Linked DNA regions of Callithrix jacchus. The protein of the gene in region 1 binds, or shares a complex with, the protein of each later gene. Links are inferred from orthologs where the notes say so. Each region holds a gene or a part of one and is shown in the gene's direction. Other genes may lie near its edges. The genes, in order: SATB1 and HOXB2.

Region 1 (11,743 bases):
CATCTGTATTTTATCTAGAAAGGCCATTTTACAAATACATTATATTAGTAGAGAGAGATATCTAGAGCTAAAACATTTACATAGGACACATATATGCATACGGGTCCCCAACCAATTGTAACGTGTCTTCTTTTTAAATTCTGGCAGGTGATCTTTAGACAGTGACTGAGTATGGATCATTTGAACGAGGCAACTCAGGGGAAAGAACATTCAGAAATGTCTAACAATGTGAGTGATCCGAAGGGTCCACCAGCCAAGATTGCCCGCCTGGAGCAGAACGGGAGCCCACTAGGAAGAGGAAGGCTTGGGAGTACAGGTGCAAAAATGCAGGGAGTGCCTTTAAAACATTCGGGCCATCTGATGAAAACCAACCTTAGGAAAGGTAAATACTCTCAAGCCAAATCCTGGAAAGCTGAAAGCCCTGGTGTCTACACAAGGCCACATTGTGTGGGGGTGGAGTGGCAGAACATGTTTTGTATACTCTGCCTTTATTCTCTTTCTGATCTTAAATTAGTTACATTCTGGGTCCTTAGTATCAATCATGTTAGAAAGTATAGGCTCCATGCTTGGGTGGAGCATTTTACTGTAGTCTGGAATCATTGGACATTTCAGATTCTAAGGACTGAATTAAATATAATGGTCTTAGTTTACACAGGGGTCCATTCACAAGGTGTTACAGTAGAGGATTGTAGGCGGCTGTTGCTTTAAACTAACCTGATTAAGAATAAAACACTTAGGTGGTTTGAGAGCTACCCTAGCTTCTTTCTAAGATTTTTGGTTGTAAGGCAGTTTCAGAGATCTTAAAAGTCTTACACAGAAGTTTGTCATGTTATTTTTCGTGGCTTATTTTCTTCAGAGAAAATTCATTAGTATTGAAAAATCTGATGATTCTGGTCTTTAATTTTTGTTTTAATTGGGTATGCTTGATGAAGAAAGAACAGATTTAGACAAGTTTAAAGGGGAAGATGTGTAACTGTGTGACTCTTTTCTATCAATATTAAATTGATGCGGTTTAACAACTTTGACTGTGTTTAACAGTGTTGTTCCTGTAAAGCAGTGCCTCTCCCGGGTGTAATGCCTGTGCCTCATAAGGAGCTTCATTCTGTGTCTAAATAACATGTATAGGAATCAGATTTTCCTTATAATAGCTAAGCAATGGATTAAAAATGCTATATTTTAGCAACCAAGAATATTAAGTAGCTAAAGTTAGAAGGCAGAGGAATTTCATTGTGTTTGATGCATAACATTTATCATACAATCATTTATTTTTTCCTTGGTTTGGCGAAAACAAAGAATATATTGATCCTGAAATGAACAGACACAGCAGTCCGTATTGTTAGATCTTTATCTATTAAAAATGGAAAAACAGCACTTCAGCAAATTCTTTGGCCTCTACTCATGATTACCCTATTTATTGATTGTTTGCCAAGAATGTATGCATCTTAAGAAAGCCAGGGTAAGAGCATTAAAAATATAATTTATTACGGCTTTTCAAACAGAGTACATTAATATTGTACTGTGAAGCACTGGGGCTCTATAAAAAAGACTTTCTGACGCCTGCAAACATGTAAGTTCCATAAATTCCTAAATAGGAGATTTCAGCTGTCTCTGGTATTATGTGATATTTGCACAGCAAACTTTAATGCCAGGACAGTTTTAGACAAGGATTCTACAGACTTCACTGCTCCTTATGGCAGACGTGCTGTTTACACAGGCTCATAAACCTTCAGCAAAAGCTTCTAAGACTGCCTTCAGGTTTAAATCATGTGGTATTTTTAGCATTCAGCAGTGACCAGTGCTCTCCCCTTTAAATGCTGGAAGGTTATGAAGTCGCTGTAGTTGGAACTCTCACCGAACACTTGCACGAATAATCAGACAGTTCAGAGAAGGCTTATGTTCAGCGTTATTCCCAGGAACAGGAGGGTAACCGCAACAGTTTGCTAGAAGATCTGTAATTAGATGATACTCTTGTTACTTTATAGACATCTTTATTATTTTAGGGTACCTCTAAACATAATCGATAAAATCCAAAATAAATCCAATATATTTCAATAGTTTGAAAACCCTGCAGTTCATAGGTCTAAGGAAAAGCATATTGTAGAATACATCTGTTTAATCCTTCAAAAGGAAGAATCAATATGTGTGTTTTTGTTGTACTTACTCGACTCCTTGAAGATATCAGGACAGGAGGAGGAAGAACTAAAAGTACAGTAAATTCACTTCCTGCTCAAATGCTTTTTTGTTTTGTTTTTTGGATGTATGCTAAAAATGCAGTTTAATTGTAGAAGGGCCTCAGATACTTCAAATAACAAAATTGCTAAAGCCTTTTCATGGATTTTTATTAATATTTCCATCTTATTTTTCTTGTGCATGGTTTCTGTCTGACAGGTGCTAGATGAAAATTATGGCTGAGATGAGAAAGCACTACTAAGAAAAAGGGATTGAATGTTTTTATTTGTTTAGGCGATTTTGTCAAAATATCTTCAAGCCAAGGAAGAAATCACCAGTTTGCGTATTGCTATTTTTGCTGTGGTCTCCCCAAGTTGTCTTCTGATCCCTGACGGGTTCTCTCGCTGGTATAAAACAGCTGAATGAATGACAAAAATATTGGCAAGCTCTGCAGCTTGTTTTTCATGCTTATCCTATTGGTACCTCTGAATGAGTTTGTGAGTTTTCCTAAGTAAACCTAAAGGGGTTTATTTGTCAGAGCTAGAATCTCTTGTGAACAGTTCACTAAAGCTTTGGTGAAGACTCACATATAGAAAGATGTAGCTGTTTTATTGCCGGCTTTTGTTCAACAGAAACAGCAAATAGAGAATCTCTAAAGAGCCTCTCTGGTGTCAGTAGGAAATCCTGATTTTTAGCTACGGTTGCTGTGTACTACATATCTTCAGAAGTTGGTAGGATTCTGTGAGTCCAGAGGACAGAGCTTACAGAGGCATTAGTATTGTAGGACTAATTGTGGATCCTGGGTGCCCTGTTAAAGTAACCCTTGTCATCATTTATGCTAAAGATGATACCCTTCTGGCAGTTTGCCACAGTACAATTCAGATGCATCTGCTTTTAACCCTTTTCCGTTATCATTGGAAGTCTGACAGTGAGCTGCATAAACACCTTGAGTACTACAGCATTCCGTAATATCAATTTCTAGAAGAAGCATCTTGCTGATAGTGAGTGCTGTGGCTTGTGCTTATTAATCATCTGGCTACTGAGTTACTATTGGATTAAAATATATAAAGAGAGAGCACACCAAATCTATGCAGATTCCTTTATCTTAGTATGTCCTGATAAGGTCAGTTTCCTTTTCTCTCTCTAATTTTTATTTTATTTACTATAACAAAGATTGTTGATTTTAAAGACTTACGGATACTGTGTTACCTTTTTAGTTAGGTAGGTTAAATGAGTGTTCATAAAAGCAAATGGTATTTACGTGTATTATGCACATATTGAAATTGTATATTATGAGCACCAGTTTGGTTAAGTACTTTGTGTGGAACCAGTTAGAGTTAATATCTAAAAAAGGAAGAAAATGAAAATTTCATGGTTGAAGATAATTTGTTTGGACACAAACAGGAAAAGTTTATTATTAACAAAATCATATAGGCAGTAGGAATATAGGGTCTTCCGAAGGTAACTAGTGAGTTATGTTTGCATACTGTATACTCATAGCAAACTAGAGAAGACACATTTATTTCTCTTTCATCACCATTATTATTTGATCAGAAAGGTAATTCTGCATTTATTGCTTTTGGAAAATGCATTGTTAATTTAAAGGCCAACTTACCTTAGGACCAAGTTCACATTCTACTCAAATATTTCTCTTACAACTTTAAATAATGCGGGAATGTATATATTTGCATGCATGTGCTTGTAGTTCTGTACCCAGTCTGCATTGGAAGCACAGTGAATCTCTTGTGATTATTTTCATGGCTAATTTTTCCTCCCCCAAGCTGTATTTCTGAAGATTATTGGTTTTCCATCTCTTTTTCTTCATCTTTTTGATAGGAACCATGCTACCGGTTTTCTGTGTGGTGGAACATTATGAAAATGCCATTGAATATGATTGCAAGGAGGAGCATGCAGAATTTGTGTTGGTGAGAAAGGATATGCTTTTCAACCAGCTGATAGAAATGGCACTGCTGTCTCTAGGTTATTCACATAGCTCTGCTGCCCAAGCCAAAGGTAAATAATGTGTATGTGGGGTTGGAAAAATTGCTTGGCATCCTTTGTTTACCTTACAGAGAAAGCACTGAATATTTTTATTCAAAGAACTGTAGCCTGTGTATTACATTGGTTCCGTATAGGCTGTGGCTTTAAAAAATTGGCTTAATTCAGTTTGGTTTAGTTAACACACATTTTGCTCATGTGGAATGTCGAGGTAGATTTTTTTTTTAAATTACTTCAGCTGAATCATTAGTATGCTTATTGACCTTAATAATCTGCTCCACTGAGGACCCACAAGGAAGTGAGGAGCGTATTTGAGCAGATGGACTGTTGAGAGTCAATTTGCATTTATGACTGAATATCTAGTTCTGTTTCTTTTATTCTGTTTCTGATGGTTTTATGGGCTGTAAAGTATTTTTCAATGCTGATTCCCACTGCAATAGAGAATCTTATCTAAATCGTAAAGCCATTTAGAACTGGTTCAGCTATGTCTTATTAGAACTTCCTGTAAGTTAGGAAAATGTGGCCTTATGCATAGGTTTTATTGATGGGGTTTTATTTCCAAAATAATAAACAACCCTATAGTCATTTACATAATTTTACAATTTGGAAAGCTAAGCTGTGAATATTTGCATTGACCTGCCTTTTAGAAGGAAGGGAATCATTCAAACAGAAATAACAGTATTGCTTGTGGTAGGGGTATCAGAAAAAAGAAAAAGATCACCCTTCTACTAGATTTGGTATCTGAGGGTAAAATATTTCGTGACATATTCTCTTTATCTGAAATAGGGCTAATCCAGGTTGGAAAATGGAATCCAGTTCCACTGTCTTACGTGACAGATGCCCCTGATGCTACAGTAGCAGATATGCTTCAAGATGTGTATCATGTGGTCACATTGAAAATTCAGTTACACAGGTGAGTCAAGACAGCAAATCTAGGGTGAAACGTTCTTCTTACCTGGTCATTTTGAAATGAAGCATCTCTCTCTGGTCAACCTTCATTTTTTTTTTTTTTTCTACTCTGTGTTTCAGAAAGGTTAATACAGATTGATTTTGTTACCCTATCCTTCTGTCCTTTTTTCTAACTTCAGTGTATAATTTAAAAGCACCTCCCCCGCAACACACAAAATTTGTAGGTTTGTGCAGGTTATCAAAAGACAAGACTTTTTACGTTTAGTCAATTAAACAATGCATTTCAAGAAGGCATTTTACATAAAGTTTACTTAAGAAAAAAATATTTTTGCATATCATGAACAGTGCCATCTGTGTACATTTTGTGAAAGACTGTCGTATTCACTATTACCACAATCTTATTTATTTATTTTTTTACGATTTTAATTCATATGAACAGAGTAATGAAAGGAAATCGGTTAATACGTTAAAGCTTTTCACGATGGCTCATGAGAAAGCAGTACACCTTAAATTGTCTTCCCAAGTGCATCAGAGCAGGAAGGTAGAAGTAACATGAAAAAATAGCCACCACAGGCAGCTGATGTATAATTCATGCATCGATACAGCAGATGTGTTGTATAAAGTAATTAACTAATCGGAACAATCAGGAGACCGAGAGCAATCTCCAGATGCATCTGTTTGATGCGCAAAATGAAATCTGTCTGTCTTAAAGGAATGTTCTGCAGCGGGATGCAATCTTGTAATAATCCCCTTTCTAATCTATGTCTCAAATAGTTGCCCCAAACTAGAAGACTTGCCTCCTGAACAATGGTCGCACACCACAGTGAGGAATGCTCTGAAGGACTTACTGAAAGATATGAATCAGAGTTCGTTGGCCAAGGAGTGCCCCCTTTCACAGGTACTTAGCATAGCATGTAATAAATAATAAGACATCATGGGCAACCCTGATTTGAGGTTTGATGGAGCTCCCTAGTTTAAAGCAACTGGTATCTGAAGCACGAATCTGCCAAAAATGCAAAGTGACTTGACCACTGATGACCTTTTAAAATATGCCTGATTCATTCTGAACAGAGCCTATACGCTTTTTATCCCTTGGGGAAAAGAGCCAAAGGACTGTTTACAGGAAAAACAGTTCCGTGGAAGACTCTGCTGGCTAGTTTTTAGATTTGTCTTCTTTTTGAATGCTGTGAGCATGATGGCTACATTCTTCTCAATGACCTTATTTATTAAGAAAGAGTCGAGGTGGTACTACTCCCCCAAAGCTTCAGTGAGTGGGAATGGCAGTGTTAGTGATAATGCGCAGAACTTCACCATGCCATCTGAAAAAAATAACTGTACGGTTCTTGGATACTTTACTCATTACCAAAAAATCCAAAGTGTTTCAGTAAAAATAATTATGAGAATAATTACCCGTAACTAAAAGTTGAATAGTTGTTAATTCATTCAGATTTTGTGACCAATTTTGTGGCTTTGGTTTACTTCTTTTCTGTTTTTTAAGTGGAATCTTCTTTTTTCCCCTCTTAGTTGCCTGTCATACCATCAGGGATTTTTGAAATGAAATAAAGATTTTAAAATTATTTTCCTTGATTTCTTTAGAAAAAAATTGGTGGAGGGCAGCTAAAACTCTAGGTAGGAACTGCCTACCTGCTTATAAACAGAAAATCAAACATCATTTTTGACGAAACTCAGCTGATTTCAAATACAAAAGAAAAAGGATGCCGTGAATCTGCTGTTAAGGGCTGCTTGTGGGGTCACCATGTAAATGTGTTACAGTCATCCCCTCAGTATCCAAATCCATTTTAAGGCCATTCCATGATACAGGATGATTGGAATCTTGGTCCACCTAAATTTTTGCCAAATATTTAATGTTTTCTTTTAATTTGAGTTTTAATTCTGAATATTAGTCTCAGTCATTTGAACTTGAACTGTATGACTGCTGTATACATTTCTGCAACTGAGACATCTCAAAGTGTATTTCTGCTATATTCTGAGTAGTAGATAATCTCAAAATGTATTTCTAATGTGAGGCTCATGACGATTATTGGGTACCTTTGACAGGAAACTTATGGGCTTTGTGCTTCTGTTTCATAAAAATTCCATGCATTTCAGATTTGCTAACTTACGGGCTAACATTTGTACTTTGATATTTGCTGGAAATTTTAGAAATAAAACAAATGAATTAAGTTTATAATGAATAGCTTTCTATATTATTCTGAGGTAAGCTATAGCCACAGGTTACATATTCTCTGTATTGCTAAGTGTCCATTTCTTGCAATTTAGAGTATACTTTTTTTTTTTTTTTGTCATTTCAGCTAATCTCCTATCTTCCCTCTCTCTCCCTTGGAATAGAGAGGATATGAATTTATAACCATCAAATAAAAGTAATTAAATTAATTAAACACAGTTAAATCAATAGGATTATATAATAAAAGCAGGGTGACTCTTCAGTGGCTTCATTTCGCAGACAACTCCAGATAACATGTTACGTGGTTGCTAACACTTGAAAATTTGAAATGATCTAGAAATAAACTTTCAAAAAAACTCAGTTAAAACATAATATAAATACCTAGTACAGAAATCGCATGTGTCTTTATGTTACTAAATGTCCCATTGATCTTGGAAGCACATTTAGACAAAGACTTAAGGCATTTACTCTGAGCTGAAGAAGATTTTAGTACAAATATTTGTTGATACAATTAGTGAGAACTAATTGTTAAATGACATAACATTCAGCCAGTGAACTCCACCTCACTATAACTTATAAATAGAATTTTGAATTTACTTAGTGTTATCATGGAAAATGAATTGAATACAGACAATTATAACATTAAGCAGAATGACAAAATGTAATTCAGGACTTGGTTTTGGAGTCATACATTGGTGAATTTCTGTAGAGAGAGGTTTTCAGATACATGGCCTCCTGTGGCTGGATACCTCACTGTAATCATTAAGTGATGGAACTAGGCTGCAATTTCAACATCAGTTATAATTATAGTATTCTTTTCCTTAAAAATATCTTCTAAAAATTCAGCATAGTTTAGCAGTGAAAGCAAATATTTGAAATTAATTTAATATTTAACAGTATGAAAAAATGTAAATTGTTCTCTAAATGAGGGAGTTATTTTATATTTTGCTGAATCATCTTCTATTTTTCTATGAATCTGATACTCTAGTCAGAATGTTTTCAATAAACTATTTTCTGTTTGCTTCTTGATTATGGTTTTCTGCCTAGAGTTATTAAAATGAGAATGCAAGTTTCCTAAAGCCTATGTCCAAAATATATGCCGAGTTTGACAAAACTACTCTTTTTTCTGTGGTTAAGATTTGGTGATAAAGACGTTATGGTGAAGAATGCCTGGCAAATAAATATGACCTCGGTCTTGTACAAAATGGGACCTAACACCAAGAAATGCCAAGTGTTAAGGACTTTTTTCCCCTATGGAGTGTTGATTCATTCATGCAAGAGAACCTTTAGCATGCGATTCAACATACACATTTTACCATAGAGTAAGGGTTTTATTTTGTTGAATATGATAAAGTGTTCCAGTAGCAAGTATGGTTACAGGGTCCTTCAATATTAAACTTAGTAAAAAGTTTACCCTCCTAGACCCTGCTCTGTTAGAGGAATTTACTAATTTAAACTTCGTATAAATTCCTCTAATAGAGCAGGGTCTAGGAGGAGTGGAACTGGGAAGCTACCAGGATTTTGCCTGGGGTGTTGGATAAGCCCTGCCTCCAATGCTCTTAGGATGGTTGTCTATTACTTGCTAAGCAAATGTCCATTTGGACTTGGGTTCTCAGAACCAGAAGGGATTATCCTTCCTAGGCTCTTCCCCTTTGACAATTGAAGCAGCCAGTATCCCTGGAGATTAAAGTCACGGTGCTAGTTAATGACTGACACACAAGTCATGACTTGCTAAGCTTATGTCCTTGGCTTATGATAAATTTTAAAAGTGTTGATTTAGCTACTCAGGAGGCTGAGGCAGAAGAATTACTTGAACCTGGGAGGCAGAGGTTGTGTGGGAGCTGAGATTTGCTACTGCACTCCAGCCTGGTGACAGAGCGAGACTCCATCTCAAAAAAAAAAAAAAAAAAAAAAAAAAGCAACTTACTTTTGGGTACAATAATGTTTTCTTTGATCATATTTGTAAGGTTTTCTCCAGCTGCAGAAATTCCATAAATGGGTTTGGCTTGATTTACAACTCATACCTTTATTTCTGTTATGACTTTCTTATCGTAAATCTGCCCAAATAGATTGACACTCATTTATTAAGTTCTTTGTACCACATGTTTTTTTTATTATTTTTGTAAAATGTTCTAAGACATAAGAAATGCTTAGCTCATTATAGGTCTGAGGATGGATGTTTTGTTGTCACTTTGTTTTTTTCGGTGGATGTGGTTAGTTACATTCTGAATTGCAGCTAAGGAGGAGAAAATAAACTCTGATTTGGGGACAAGAAACCCTGTAATCATAAAACTTTTAGGATATGGATTTGGGAGGAAAATTGGGAATTTAAAAAGTGAACAATTTGATTTATAATAAAACATTACCTTTTGATGCTTATTTTCCCTGGAGTTTTAGAAATTGCATTTAAACACCAGATAAATATGTACGCATTCTGATACAGGGGTAAATTCATTTTGTTAAGTAAAAGGTCAGCTATTAATTTCTACCAGCCTAGTGTCTTCCTTCTAAAAATGTTTAGGTCAAATCTTTTGTGGTGGTTTTAATCTGATTTGCTCATTTTTGCCTCTCCTCTGTCACCACACACATGGGTATACACAGACACACACACATTTACCACACCTTTCACGTTTTTAAGGCATTGGATTATTTTCTATCTTATTTCTCACCTGGAAAAGATATCTTTAAGCCAAGTCATATAAAGTGGGTGAGAACTGTCATTTTTATTTTCAAGTAGTAAAATATATACAAAATACATTTAAATTTGAACATTCCATTTAGAAGTAATATTGAGAAAGATGATTTTCCAATTTTCCTTTTTTCACAGCATCCAAGGATCTCAAATAAGCTGGACAATTTATTTATTAATGGCAAAATAGATTTTAAAAAGAAACTACCCTGTGCTCCTGAAGCTTAGCTTCAGTACTACCCTCCTGAAATGTGACAGTCATTTCCGTAAGAATTGAATACACTTACATGTTTAGTTGATTTTCAGTCTGTATTATAAATGATACTGGAGCAACAATTAGAAAATCTATCATGTTATAGAAAAGTGTTTTTAATAAACTACTTTGTTTCACAGTTTTTGGACTGAAATTACACGTTTCTTAAAAGTAATCACATTCTTAAGAGAATAGCCAGCATCAGTATTCATATGTTGCATTTCACGTGAGAGTCTAACCTATGAAATTTGTTTACATACTCATATATTCAAAGGTATGTATCGACAGTCGGCTGTATGCCAGGCATTCTATTTCCTATGTAGTAATAAGGATATGACATCTTAATCGTTGAAATAATAGTATTACACTTTTAATTTAGTGCTTTTGATGTATCGAGAGTGCCTTTGGTCCCGCTAAGTAGGATATAGTCATATATTCCCATTTTTAAATGAGGAACCTGAGGTGCAGAATGTTGACTTGAATGTCTGTGGCTACCTCACTGGTGAAGCGGAAGGGTAAGACTTCATACCCAGAGCCCGTGAGCTTCACCAAGTACCCTTTTTCATCACATACCACAAACAAAGGAATTGTAAAAAAGACAAAATGAAAGCCTCTCAGATGAATTTGATAGGTTTTATAATATGCTTTGATTTCTCTAAAGTACTGATAACTACTTGTAGTTTTCCACGTGTATTTATTCTCATTACTGAAAATTTTCTTTAATGTGTTTTGGTTTTCTGTCTTTGATTTTTTGTTTATATATTGTCTTGTTTTAAAAGTACATTGCTATCATTTCAAGCCCTCAATCACGGATAATCCAGACAGGAACTGACTTTTGGGATAACTTGGCATTTGGGATGTTCCAGAAAATTTGCCAGAATAGTTCTGTGTAGTTACTTCTCTTTTCTATTCTTTCATATCCTCAAGACCAGTAGGCATAATTATGCTAATAGCACTTTGTTTTGAACCCCAAGGTAACATTAGGCATTTTCATTACAAATTGTGGACAGTTGAATTTCTTGGGTCTGTTCGAAAAATACAGATTTCAGTCATCGGACTGGCCTGATCTGATGGACAAGGCTATCACGAGCAGCTCCATTTTAAAATAAAAAGAATCCTGTTTGAGATGTACTGGAACGATTTTGTATTTGCCCCTTTCCAGTATAAAATTATAATCTTATGTTTAAACACCACGTATTTTTAAGAAAAGCTCTAAAGAGAATCTTCTTTACTTTTTAAAATTATAAAACTTTCCCCAGTTTTTACGGAACTGACCGTGGGAATCTTCGATTATAATGTCTGCTTTGCCAGGTAGTCAGTGCTTGATACTAATTGGATCTTATGACCACTTTTCAGCAATTGTAGTACTGTAATGGTGATATCCATAAAGGAAATGGTAAACCTGTCTTACATGGGTAGTTGTGTGAATTGCAAAACTTGTACCAGATAATTTTTTTGCCTCCTCTTTTGAACCAGTCATGACATCATTCTTTTTTCAACTTACTGAGATGTCTGCTCTGTGTTAATATTATAATATGTA
Region 2 (11,843 bases), on another chromosome or scaffold:
GCCCCCTCTCAAAGGCTGTGGCGCCCCGCAGAAGTACCCCCCGACCCCGGCGCCCGAGTATGAGCCGCACATCCTCCAAGCCAACGGGGGCGCCTACGGGACGCCCACCATGCAGGGCAGTCCGGTGTATGTGGGCGGGGGTGGCTACGCAGATCCGCTGCCGCCCCCTGCCGGCCCCTCCCTCTATGGCCTCAACCACCTTTCCCATCACCCTTCCGGGAACCTGGACTACAACGGGGCGCCCCCTATGGCCCCCAGCCAGCACCACGGACCCTGCGACCCCCACCCTACCTACACAGACCTCTCCTCTCACCATGCGCCTCCTCCTCAGGGTAGAATCCAAGAAGCACCCAAATTAACACACCTGTGATGGGAGAGGGCAGACGAGGGTTAGGGGATGGGGAGGAAGAGGGAGACTGTGGAGCTCTGTGGGGGCAGTCTGGACGTCTGAAAGAGAGGCCAGGGAGGTGGTAGCCAGGCTTCCTGGGCAGAACCAGCCTGAAGCTCCTTCCCCTCCCCCTGGCCTGAGAGGTTGCTTTTAAGTCCTCCACCCCTTGTTCCATCTGCCTGCTAACCCATCGGAAAGGATTCCACAGCAGATTGGAGATGACCCCAGCAACCCCAGGGCTCCAGCACCAAGCTGGAATTCCACGCCCGGGAGTGGGGTAGAGGAAGACGAGATAGGACGAGGCAGAGAAGCACATTTTAAAAACCAGACAAGATGGCTAGGCCATCACCACCCAACGGACTTACCTTACATCTTTGTAGGTAATTCCCCCGAAATCTTGATTTTTTTTTCCTCAATTCTCCTTAAAAAAAATAAGAAAACACATTTCAAACCCAAAGGGCACAAAGCACGTTCCCTTTCAACTATCCCCCATCCTCAAATTTGTTCCCATTTATTTGAGGTTTTTTGAGGTACCTACCCTCTTCATTTCCAGCCCCAGGTTTTTCTGCTCTAAGACATTCATGTCTATACATCCCACCCTCATCAATTACAGCTGTTAGAGGGCTCAGGGATGGTGAGAGATCCTGAAAGAGCTGCTCATATTATAAATTATATATATATTTTTAAGGAAAAGTGTGGAGGCCAGGGCAGGCAGGTTGTTAGGACTGAAGGCTTGCCTATTCTGCCTCCATCTCAGCTCCAACTCCATCCCCCTCTCTCCACAGAAAGCAGTTGGTGACACGAGGTTCTACACTTTTCTTTTCTTCTGTTGCTCTCTTGACTTAACGTGAAAACAGGGTATATTTGAACAAACTGTCCCAGGCAGGGGCTGCTGCAGGGCCTGTATGCCTTGCTCAGCCTCCTGACAGGACACTTTTGTTGCACTTAGAGTTTACATTTTAATGGATATAAAAACAACTGTGAGAGATGTCTGGGCCTGCAGAAGTCCGCATCGCTCAAAAAAGTGTGTGTTCTAGTGAACATTTTCATATATATTTATTGGTTATAGCCTGTTAAAATATTTTCTTTTTTGTATTATTTATCCCCCTACATTATGTATTTATATGAGGGAAAAATTGAAAAAAAATTGTACTTTTTTAGTATTTACTTGTTATAAAGGACGTTGTGTTTCCTGTCATGTAAAACCAGCTATTTTAGTTATTCTTGTACTCTAGAAAAGAGCTGTAGATTTATGTTAAACTCGTACTTATGAACAATTGTAATTAGTTCTAAAAGGCATGAACTCAGCTCCTAATTGTCGCTGTATAGTCCTGAATTTGTAGAACTAGAGTTAATTCCCTCTTGGAACTTTCTTTGTTCTTCGGTAGTTACTTTTTTCCTTACCTAAAAGGGTTGTCTGTCAAACAATTCTTGAATAAACTTTGTGTTATCAATTTTATCTTGTCCTGCTGGTCCAATTTAGATAGCAGAGCAAGGCTGCTGACTGCCAAATTTCCCCCAAGGGAAGAAGAAGGACACTGAAGACCCTTCCCTGGCCTTTTTGTCCACTGCCCAGGTTTCTATCTCCCCCTTGATATGTATCAGATTTAAATACCACTTTCTCACTCATAAGAGCCTGGAACATTTTGCCAACTTCTTTAGCTGTGGTTTAAGTAATAAGTTGGGAGGTAAGGGGGGATTCTTTGGTGCTCTCTGTAGGTTTTTCTGTTTGGCCTCTGTGCCTCCCGGTTTTTCATTCATTGACATTTCGTCTGTTAGCTCTTTTGGCCACAACCTCCATGCACCCCTCACCCCTTCCCACTACCAATAGGAAAATCTGGCCGATTACGGTTTCTTCCACGAAACCTAAACTTCACAGTCCTCTTCCGGAGCTACAAAGAAGTTGTCACGTGACCCGAAGCCCAACCACCATTGGGTCTAAAATGAAAACAAAGAAAAATGATTAATCTAAAAAAAAAATCTGAGGCCTAGACTTCTCAGGTCAAACTTTAGAACTAAGTAAAATTAAATCACTAAATAAAACTCAAGGCGGAGGGAGAGGAGGCACGTTTGATTTCCCCTGCCAGAGAAAGGGGAGAGGAGGGTGGAAGCTGTTGGATCCAAGCGTAAATAAAATGGTCCCCAGGCTAATGTGCGGCTCTGTTTCCACCATCCTTGGGAAAACTTCATTTCTTAGTCGTGGTTCCATAAAAGTTTTATCACATTGGAGTGAGAATAGAGAGGGTCTGTCAAAGATGAAATGTCACCGCCGAGTCGCTGGAGCCGATAAGAGCGAGAAGACAGGGCGGCTGAAATATGGAGCTAATTCGTTGAAAGAGAAGCGATGGCTGCTTGCTGAAGAGTTGCATAATTCTAATTGTAAGCGATGTGCCCGCATTGCTTAATTAGGAGCATATATTTGGTGGTAGTGATGGGGGTGGGGGGGAATGAGAATCGTTCCAGGCCCTGCCTTAAAGCGAGGGCTGATTTTCATTTTTATGTTGCATCCTGGCAGTCCAAGGTTAGTAATTATAGTCTTTATGCAACAATAAATAACAATAAAAAAGCAACCTGAATTCTACACCCTCCCCCTTCCCCACCACCAAGTAGGATTTTAACTGGACTCGGCTCACCCAAGCAGCAAGCAATTTAGCACTGGGTCAGGCTATAATTTAAAGGCATAAGAGCGTGCAAAGTTTGGGATCAAATAACGCTCAAGGGTTTTTCTTTCTTTCTCTCGTCTTCCCTGAATAACATGTTCTGAATGATATAACTAGATGAAGCACTATGTTTGGCTCTGGGGTTGTGTTAGGTTGCTTATTTATCTAGCAGGAAAGAGACAGGCCAAGAGAGAGAATTTAGCTTAAGTTTGAAAAACAGAGCTTTGGCTCGAAGCTGGAATTGAAAACAAGAAAAATAAGAAGCAACTTGGCTTGGTGTTCCCTATCCTTCTCTTTGGGAGATTCCAGGCGCTCAGCGAAAGCAGCCAAAGACTTGGGTAAAATATCCGTGCTGTAAAATTCACAGCAGGACAGGGGGGCGGAGGAGGGATGTCTCTTAGAAGGAGGGTTCTCTTGGCCCCTTTAACACCCAAGTTTTCGTTCGCTAATCTGGCCATAAAATCTGTCAGTGAGGGTTAGAGAGAGCTGTATTTCCTGCCGGGACAGTCTCTACCCGAGTCGCCCAAGATAAGCTCTCGATCCTTCAGCCAGCTGGAGAAGTTGGTGCTAAACTCGCAGAGGTGATCAAGGGGTGGCCACAGGGAGAACCCTCTCTCAGGCCTCTCTGAATGACTTCCCGACAGCTACTATTTGGATTCTTCCATGCCCACCCCCATCCACACCTCCAAACGGCAAAAATTGTTTTCTTTGGAGCCGAGTTGCACACTATTATCGCTGGCCACTTTGCCCGGGTTGCAGCAGCTCTCTCTCTCTCTCAGTTCAGAGCCCTCCTGCTCCTGCCTCCCACTGTCCCTGCAGCCCCCACCTCCAATTCCCCTTTCTCTATCCTCCTCTCCCCCACCCTCATTCTACTCAGAATTCTCTGCCGGTCTTTTTAAAATACTCACCACCACCCACGCAGATACAACATTGACAGAAAAATTTCTAGTTCCAGCTCCGGGCTCGGTTGCCATTTCTTTGCTAACCAGCCTTCTCTTCCTGGCTGGGCAGCAGAGAGACAGGAGGGGGAGGGGAGGCCAGAGCCGTGAGAGTTCTCCAGGCAAACTTTCCATCCAACTTAGCGCCTTCCCTCTGTCCCTATTTCCCATCTGTTTCCCAGCTCTCCCAGAATCACCTTTCTCTTTTGCACCCCCACCCCCACCCCCAGGGCTTTTTAAGGGATGTGAAATTTTGGCTGTTCCCTTTGCTTTCCCAAAGAACCAAATTCTTTGATGCAATAGGAGGGAGCTGTCAGAGGGCTAAGATTGATCGCCTCATCTCCTCTCTGTCCCTCTGACCCACGTATTTAAAAATCTTCCCCCAGATCGACTTTTCATTTTCTGTTTTTGAGGCCCAGTTTCTTGTGCCCTCTCCCTATAGTAAATTACAACAGTGTAAACTTTAGACTATCTTGGTCTTCTCAAAATACAATTTAAAAACATTTTCCCCTAGGAGCCAGAAATGAAGTATCATTTCAGTGGTCATTATTTCCACTCCCACCATCTTCAGGGAATTCTTCCTTGTCAGGAATTTTTTTTTTTAACTAGCACAATGGCAAAAATGGGAGGGAAAGTCTCTTTGTCCTAGGGGAAAGCTCCCCACCACACCAGGCACACACATATGCTGACCTGAACTTTGAGAGTGCTCTAAGTTAAATCAGTGGCTACCTCAGTTCTTGTTTATGCCCCTGGATATGGATACAGATACAAGCTTGAGGCTGGAGTGGGTACATGCCCATCTTAGACTCTGCCTGTTTTGGGTGGGGGGGTGTCACAAAGAAGCATGGATGCCTCAAAATGAGGAAAGCAGGGGGACATAAGAGGCAGAGGCAGTGCTGCAAACACTGGGCAGAGAAGAGAAGAACCTAGGCCACACAGCTATGGAGGCTAGAGGCCCAAAAATGCCTCTCATGCTCCATCTCACTTCCATGTGTCAGCCTGGGAGTTCCTGTCCGTTTTCTAAGATTTAACTGTTGCTTTTGGAGGGTGACATGGGGATAGTGGTGCTGATGATTGTAAATCTCTTTGTTATTTGCACCTTAACACTGACCTTTTTCAGAGTGGAAGCCTCTTTCAACTCCCTCTTCCTCCAACGGGGAGATCCTCACTCATCTTGGGGAAGGGGAGAAGAGAAAAGGATGCTGCTGGCCATGTAAAGAAAGCCTTAATTTACTCTATGAAAATAGTTAGAAAAGAGGAAGATTTCTCCCTTAGATTCTCTTCCTTTCCAGGCTTCCGAAACCTCCTAACCTCCGGAGGATTGAGAAAGAGGTTCCCCTAGCTTTTCTGGAGAAAGGGAGGCACTGGGGAGAGAGCGTGTGAGGCACTGGTGGAGGAATGGGGCTCATGGTGTCCACGTCGTGGACCTCTGGAGTTTTTGAATCAATTAAAGCAAATAATGCTCTCTGTTTTCCACCAGGCCCAGCCGAGCGATTGGCGGAGGCCGGCCCCGTGACCACGAATTCCCTGTAATTTCGCCGGAGTCCTGGGTTTAATAGAGAGAGTCCCCATACGCTTGTATTTATCAGCAATATACAATTATAAAGGCCCAAAATTTAAAAAAAAAGAGACCGAAATCTCCCCCTCCCAAAATCGCTCCATTACATAAATCTGGGGGGGGCGGGAGGGGGGGTCCCTTCCGATCCTCCCTCCTGACGCCCCCCCCAGCAGCCCCCTCCCCCACCATTGAAAGCCATGAATTTTGAATTTGAGAGGGAGATTGGGTTTATAAACAGCCAGCCGTCGCTCGCCGAGTGTCTGACTTCCTTCCCCGCTGTCTTGGAGACATTTCAAACTTCATCAATCAAGGAGTCGACATTAATTCCTCCTCCTCCTCCTTTCGAGCAAACCTTCCCCAGCCTCCAGTCCGGCGCCTCCACCCTTCAGAGACCCAGGAGCCAAAAGCGAGCCGAAGATGGGCCTGCTCTGCCGCCGCCACCGCTGCCGCTCCCCACTGCCCCCCCAGCTCCCGAGTTCCCTTGGATGAAAGAGAAGAAATCCGCCAAGAAACCCAGCCAATTCGCCACGTCTCCTTCCCCGGCCGCCTCCGCAGTCCCGGCCTCCCGGGTCGGATCGCCTGCAGGTCAGTAAGTGTGGTGGGGGTGGGGTGAGGGGGCAGCTAGAAGAGGGGGAGAAACAGCAGTAGGAGGAGGTTAAAAAAAAAAAAAAGGTGGCGAGCCTGCTGGGGTTCCGTGCCCCGTCCATTACTGCTGGGGACGGGAAGCGGAAAATCTTCGCTGGGGTTCAGGCCTGGCCGCTGCCAGGGTCTTTTTTCTCTTCCTGCGCTGATTTTGGACGCTGGTTGGGGAAACGTCTTTTCTCTGCTAAAAGAAAATGATTCTATTGAGGTTTTCACCTGTATCTATGTAGGTGAATGAGTGTGTTGCTGGGATTGCCTCTAAAAGCAGGAAAAGATTCGGTCCTTTCTGCCCCAACACTAGGAGAAGAGGAAGAATTCAGAGCTAGGGAGGAAGAGGGGTGAAAAACAATCTTTATGACCCTCGCTCCGGTTGAGTTGGAAAGTTCCGAATTGAGGGGTCCACTGGGAGGGCTGAGGAGGCGGAATCTGAGGTTCTGGCGGGAAAGGGAGCCGCTCTCCACCCCATGCTTGGCCCCGGAGCGGCTCTGAATGCTTTGCCCTGAACCGGGCCGGGGCTGTCGACTAGTGAGGGAGAGAAGGGAACCCAAAAGCAGTGAAAGCGAGCCGCTTTGGGGTGGGGGGCGGGGGTGGGGTGGCGAGGAAAGGGAGAGGTGATACTGGTTTTGGCGGATGGGGTAGTCCTTAGCTGAGGTTGGGCTGAGTACACGGCGCGCTCTGACGCCCAGCCTGTTTTTTCTACAGATGGCCTGGGACTGCCAGAGGCTGGTGGCGGCGGGGCGCGCAGGCTGCGCACGGCTTACACCAATACTCAGCTGCTGGAACTGGAGAAGGAATTTCACTTTAATAAGTACCTGTGCCGGCCACGCCGCGTCGAAATCGCGGCCTTGCTGGACCTCACCGAAAGGCAGGTTAAAGTCTGGTTCCAGAACCGGCGCATGAAGCACAAGCGGCAGACGCAGCACCGAGAGCCGCCCGATGGGGAGCCTGCCTGTCCCGGCGCCCTAGAGGACACTGGCGACCCTGCTGAGGAGCCCGCGGTCAGCCCGGGCGGCCCCTCCGCCTCGCGGACGGCTCGGGAAGCCTGTCCTCACCCGCCGGAGGTGGTGCCGGGGACCCTGAGCGCCGCGGACCCCCGGCCTTTAGCCGCTCGCTTAGAGGGCACGGGCGCGCCGAGCCCCGGCTGCGTGCTGCGCGGGTCGGGCGGCCAGGAGCCGGGGCCATTGCCAGAAGACGTCTTCACACAGCGCCAGGATTCGCCTTTCCTTCCCGACCTCAACTTCTTCGCGGCCGACTCCTGTCTCCAGCTGTCCGGAGGCCTCTCCCCTAGCCTACAGGGTTCTCTCGACAGCCCGGTCCCCTTTACAGAGGAAGATCTGGACTTCTTCACCAGCACGCTCTGTGCCATCGACCTGCAGTTTCCCTAACCGGTTTCCTCCTCCCGGCCCTTTCGACCCCCGCGCTCCTTGGCAGTCTGGAAAAATTGAGCCTCTCCCACCCCCAGTCGCATAGACTTTTGTGTTTTGTTAAAATTCAGGTATTACTGAATTAGCGTTTAATCCACTCCCCTTCTTCTTCTAAAATATTGGGCGCTCGGGCATCTTTTAAAATTCAAACAAAAATTCCGTTTGGTAGACTCCTTCCAATGAAATCTCAGGAATAATTAAACTCTAGGGGGACTTTCTTAAAAATAACTAGAGGAACCTATTTTCCTCTTTTTGTGTTTTAGACTGTAGATTATTTATTAAAATTCTTTAATAATAGGAAAAGGGGAAAGTATTTATTGTACATTATTTTCATAGATTAAATAAATGTCTTTATAATACGAAAACGAGTGTTTCTGTTGGGACCTAACCCCTTTCCCCCTCCCGGCCCCAAGGCCCATCCTCACTCCTCCAGGACCTGTGAGAAGCTGATTAGGTTCAGCGGTCTATTGGCAGCAAAGCCTCCTGGACCGGCGAAGTCCGGGTGGTACAAAGGTGACCCGATGGATGGCCACTTCGCCCATGGCTCCGGCCAGAGTCAGGAGTTTGCAGGAAGCTCAGTCACCTCCGTGCACCTCAACAGAGGGCCTCTGGTTTCAAGCGGGTGGTCTTGGGGCCTCTGCTTAGAAATAAAGATGGGCGGGTGTACAGCGAACAGAAGACAGTGCAAGGAGAGGAGGCCTGGGGACAGGCTTCGGGGTCCTAGCGGGGGCGCAGAAGTTTCCTGGAATTGGGAAGGATCCCAGGGGCTTCATCGCTTCTTAGGACCAAAGCCGCTGTAGGGCCTTTTATTGAACTCAAGAAGCCTAGGGACACGAAGCCTGGGGCTTGAGCTCTTTGGGAGCTGTAGGTGGCTCTCCAAGGAGTGGAGTGGGGTCGGGGATTTTCTCGGGAAGCAGGGCCCCGCACCCAGAGATGGTAACTGGCCTCCAGTGGGCAAGAAAAGTGGCCAGCTGAGAAATGTGGCGCTGCCGGGACACCCATGCACTCTGGGACTGCTGGGGTTTGGGGGAGCATACGAGAAGCAGCCCGGCGACAAGCCCAGGGAGGCCCGGTACCGTCGCTAGGCATTGGGCCTGCAGGGTGAGAAGGAGGAGCGAGGAGAGCGGGAGGGAGACAGGGAAGCAAAGATGATGCTCAAAATGGCGCTGGGCCGGGCGGCGGAGTTGGCGGGGGATGAGGGAAGAGGCTGCGGCCGCCATGACAGCCGCTGCGGGAGGCGCCATACCAGCGGGGTCTGCCCCCGCCCCCGCGTCCTCCCAGCCGGATCTTCCAGACGCCGGGGAGTAAGGGGCGCCTGGGAGTCCCACCTTCGTTTTTGTTTGTTTGTTTGATTTTTTTAATTTTTAAAGTGAGCCCAACGGACGCTGAGGACGCGAGATGGAAGAAGAGTCCGGGTGTTTGTGGGAAAGGAAGGAGAGCGGCGGGTCTGCGGGCCCGGGTGTGCCTCAACGAGTCTCACTTTCGATCCTTCGCTGTGGGATTTGAAGCCAGGCCAGAGCTCTCTCTAGATGCAGACCCACCTGTCTTGACCAACAACTTCATTTTCCATATCAACACCACGTCCTGTCTATCTCCCGCCGCACCCTGCCTGCTTCCTTGTAAACCCGGTAAGCGGGAAGCAAGGATCGATCTCCCCACCTCCTGGTTCGTTCTGGGAAGGTGGAGATTTAAAGGACCCTGGAAAGCCATCCATCCTCCCTAGGTTTATCCAATATTTCTCCCGCTCAGAAACAGACACTGCGGGGCTATCTCTCCGGCAGATGCTGCTCTTCTCTAAAATCAGTTTATTTCCGGGGCCCCCAGACTTTCCCCTGGACCAGCAGGAGCGGGATTTACAGTACCAGAGGCAGCAATCGTCAGGTTAAGCCAGGAGTCAACATAGATTGTGACACAGAGGACTAGACAGACCCTTTGCATATTTTTAAATGGGTCCCTCAGCATGGGAAGTACACACATCTTATTTAGCTGGAACTTAATCCCTTAAACTGTCTTAATACAGAATTCATCTCGTGTATTAAATAATCTTACATCATGTTAAATTGCACTTATGTCTCTCATAAATAAATTAATATAGAACAATTAGATGTGTTATAATAATATCGTGTATCTTAGTTTATTTTCCCTCATAAAATATATAGGTATAAAATAAATTCAATATATTAAAGTAATAATACACAGCTTATTGGCTTGTGTGTTTATTTTCCCCATAAATAAGTGAATATACAATATATTAAACCACACTATACATCTCATTGGGCTGTGTGTTTATTTCTCTATAAAATATGCCCACAGGCAGTGTTTAAAAATCTTAAAAATCACAGCACACAAGCCATCTATCTCTACACTAGCAAAATGAACAGATATTTCAGCTGGGGCGTTGATTTCTGTGGACAGTTGAACTAGATAATTTGGTCTAATTAAAAATGCTCAAGGCCAGGCGCGGTGGCTCAAGCCTGCAATCCCAGCACTTTGGGAGGCCGAGGCGGGTGGATCACGAGGTCAAGAGATGGAGACCATCCTGGTCAACATGGTGAAACCCCGTCTCTATTAAAAATACAAAAAATTAGCTGGGCATGGTGGCGCGTGCCTGTAATCCCAGCTACTCAGGAGGCTGAGGCAGGAGAATTGCTTGAACCCAGGAGGTGGAGGTAGCGGTGAGCCGAGATCTCGCCATTGCACTCCAGCCTGGGTAACAAGAGCGAAACTCCGTCTCAAAAAAAAAAAAAAAAAAAGTGCTCTTGGCTGAGCTCAGTGGCTCAAGACTGTAATCTCAGCACTTTGGGAGGCTGAGGCAGGTGGATCACGAGATCAAGAGATCGAGACCATCGGGGCCAACATGGTGAAACCCTGTCTCTACTAAAAATACAAAAATTAGCTGGGTGTGGTGGCGGGCGCCTGTATTCCTAGCTACTCCGGAGGCTGAGGCAAATCGCTTGAACCTGGGAGGTGAGGTTGCAGTGAGAGTCGAGATCATACCACTGCACTCCAGCCTGGTGACAGAGTGAGACTCTGTGTCAAAGAAGAAGAAGAAGAAGAAGAAGAAGAAAGAAGAAGAAGAAGAAGAAGAAGAAGAAGAAGAAGAAGAAGAAGAAGAAGAAGGAGGAGAAAGAAGGAGGAGGAGGAGGAGGAGGAGGAGGAGGAGGAGGAGGAGGAGGAGGAGGAGAAAAGAAAAAAATTGCTCTTGCAGCTAGCTATAGCAGGTTGTTACAAAGATCAAGAATACCAGAAGGATCTTGCTAATGGCCTACCTTCCAGTTTCTTTGGTCAAAAGGAGAGCACCCTTCCTCAATGCCAAAAAATGTAAAGTCCACTCTGCAGGAGAGAATTCCTATTAGGGGCCTCTGATGCACCAGTTCTCTGGAGCCTAACTGCTCCGTGGACCAGCAGCATCAGCACTACCTGTGAGCTACCCAGAATCTTAGGCCCCTGAATCAGACCCACTGAATCAGAATTTACAGTTTAGCAGCTCCCCAGTGATTTCTATACACTTAAAATTTGAAAAGTACTGCTAGATCATAGTGTCACCTGCTTTCTGCCTTCCTTCATGCTTCAGAATTTTTGACTCATTTTACCTGGCCCCTGCCTTCCAATCCTCCCAACCAAAACCAGTAGCTCAAATTGCAGGGAATCTTTGTTCCTGCCTGGGGCTGTATCAGTCCTGATTCCTTCCTGCCAAAGTAGTGGGAAGCCAACCAGAGGCTCAATCTACCTGTTTAGATTCAGGTACTTTGGTCATCCCAGGGGTGAGAGTTCTTAGTCCAGGTATTGCCTTTGGCTGATTATTGGAGAGGAATTGAAACTCTTTTTACAGGAAACACTCAAGTCTTGCTCGCTCTCTCCTTTCCAGATTTATGAAAAGCACCATCTCTGATGATACCACAGCAGAACAAAGAGGCAATGCATTTGCAGAAGAAAGTGACTTCCCTCTTCAACTTCCCCACCCAATTCAGATTCAAGGGAATGCTGTAATCTAGGATGCATAAAAGATTGCAATTCATGATCCCTGTGTTCCAAATTAACCTCTCCTTCTTTCATCTCTGGGGTCATCCTTTTTAGCCTGAGTTTTCCCACTTGGCCATGGAGAAGGAAGGGGAAGAGGAGTGGTTCCTAGATAGGGCAGCAGACCCCAGTGGTGGTGGCAGATTACAAGGCAGCCCCAAGTGGCTGCACTCACTTATCCCATCCTGATTGGGGCAGGGTTCCTCTTGGGTC

Evidence for each region.
Region 2: SATB1 (region 1) and HOXB2 share a complex: the UniProt entries of both Homo sapiens proteins name them as parts of the nuclear protein complex. The link is inferred for Callithrix jacchus from reciprocal best matches to the Homo sapiens genes SATB1 and HOXB2.

The regions. Positions count from the first base shown.
Region 1 is NC_133518.1:57,106,995-57,118,737, reverse strand, and holds the start of SATB1 (DNA-binding protein SATB1), read left to right. Parts: upstream 1-165; 5' UTR 166-171; coding exon 172-382; intron 383-4,005; coding exon 4,006-4,182; intron 4,183-4,953; coding exon 4,954-5,080; intron 5,081-5,850; coding exon 5,851-5,974; intron 5,975-11,743. UniProt on the Homo sapiens protein: Crucial silencing factor contributing to the initiation of X inactivation mediated by Xist RNA that occurs during embryogenesis and in lymphoma.
Region 2 is NC_133506.1:117,727,175-117,739,017, forward strand, and holds HOXB2 (homeobox protein Hox-B2), read left to right. Parts: upstream 1-5,544; 5' UTR 5,545-5,741; coding exon 5,742-6,129; intron 6,130-6,888; coding exon 6,889-7,571; 3' UTR 7,572-9,811; downstream 9,812-11,843. Other genes in the region: HOXB3 (homeobox protein Hox-B3), read left to right, coding at 1-370. UniProt on the Homo sapiens protein: Sequence-specific transcription factor which is part of a developmental regulatory system that provides cells with specific positional identities on the anterior-posterior axis.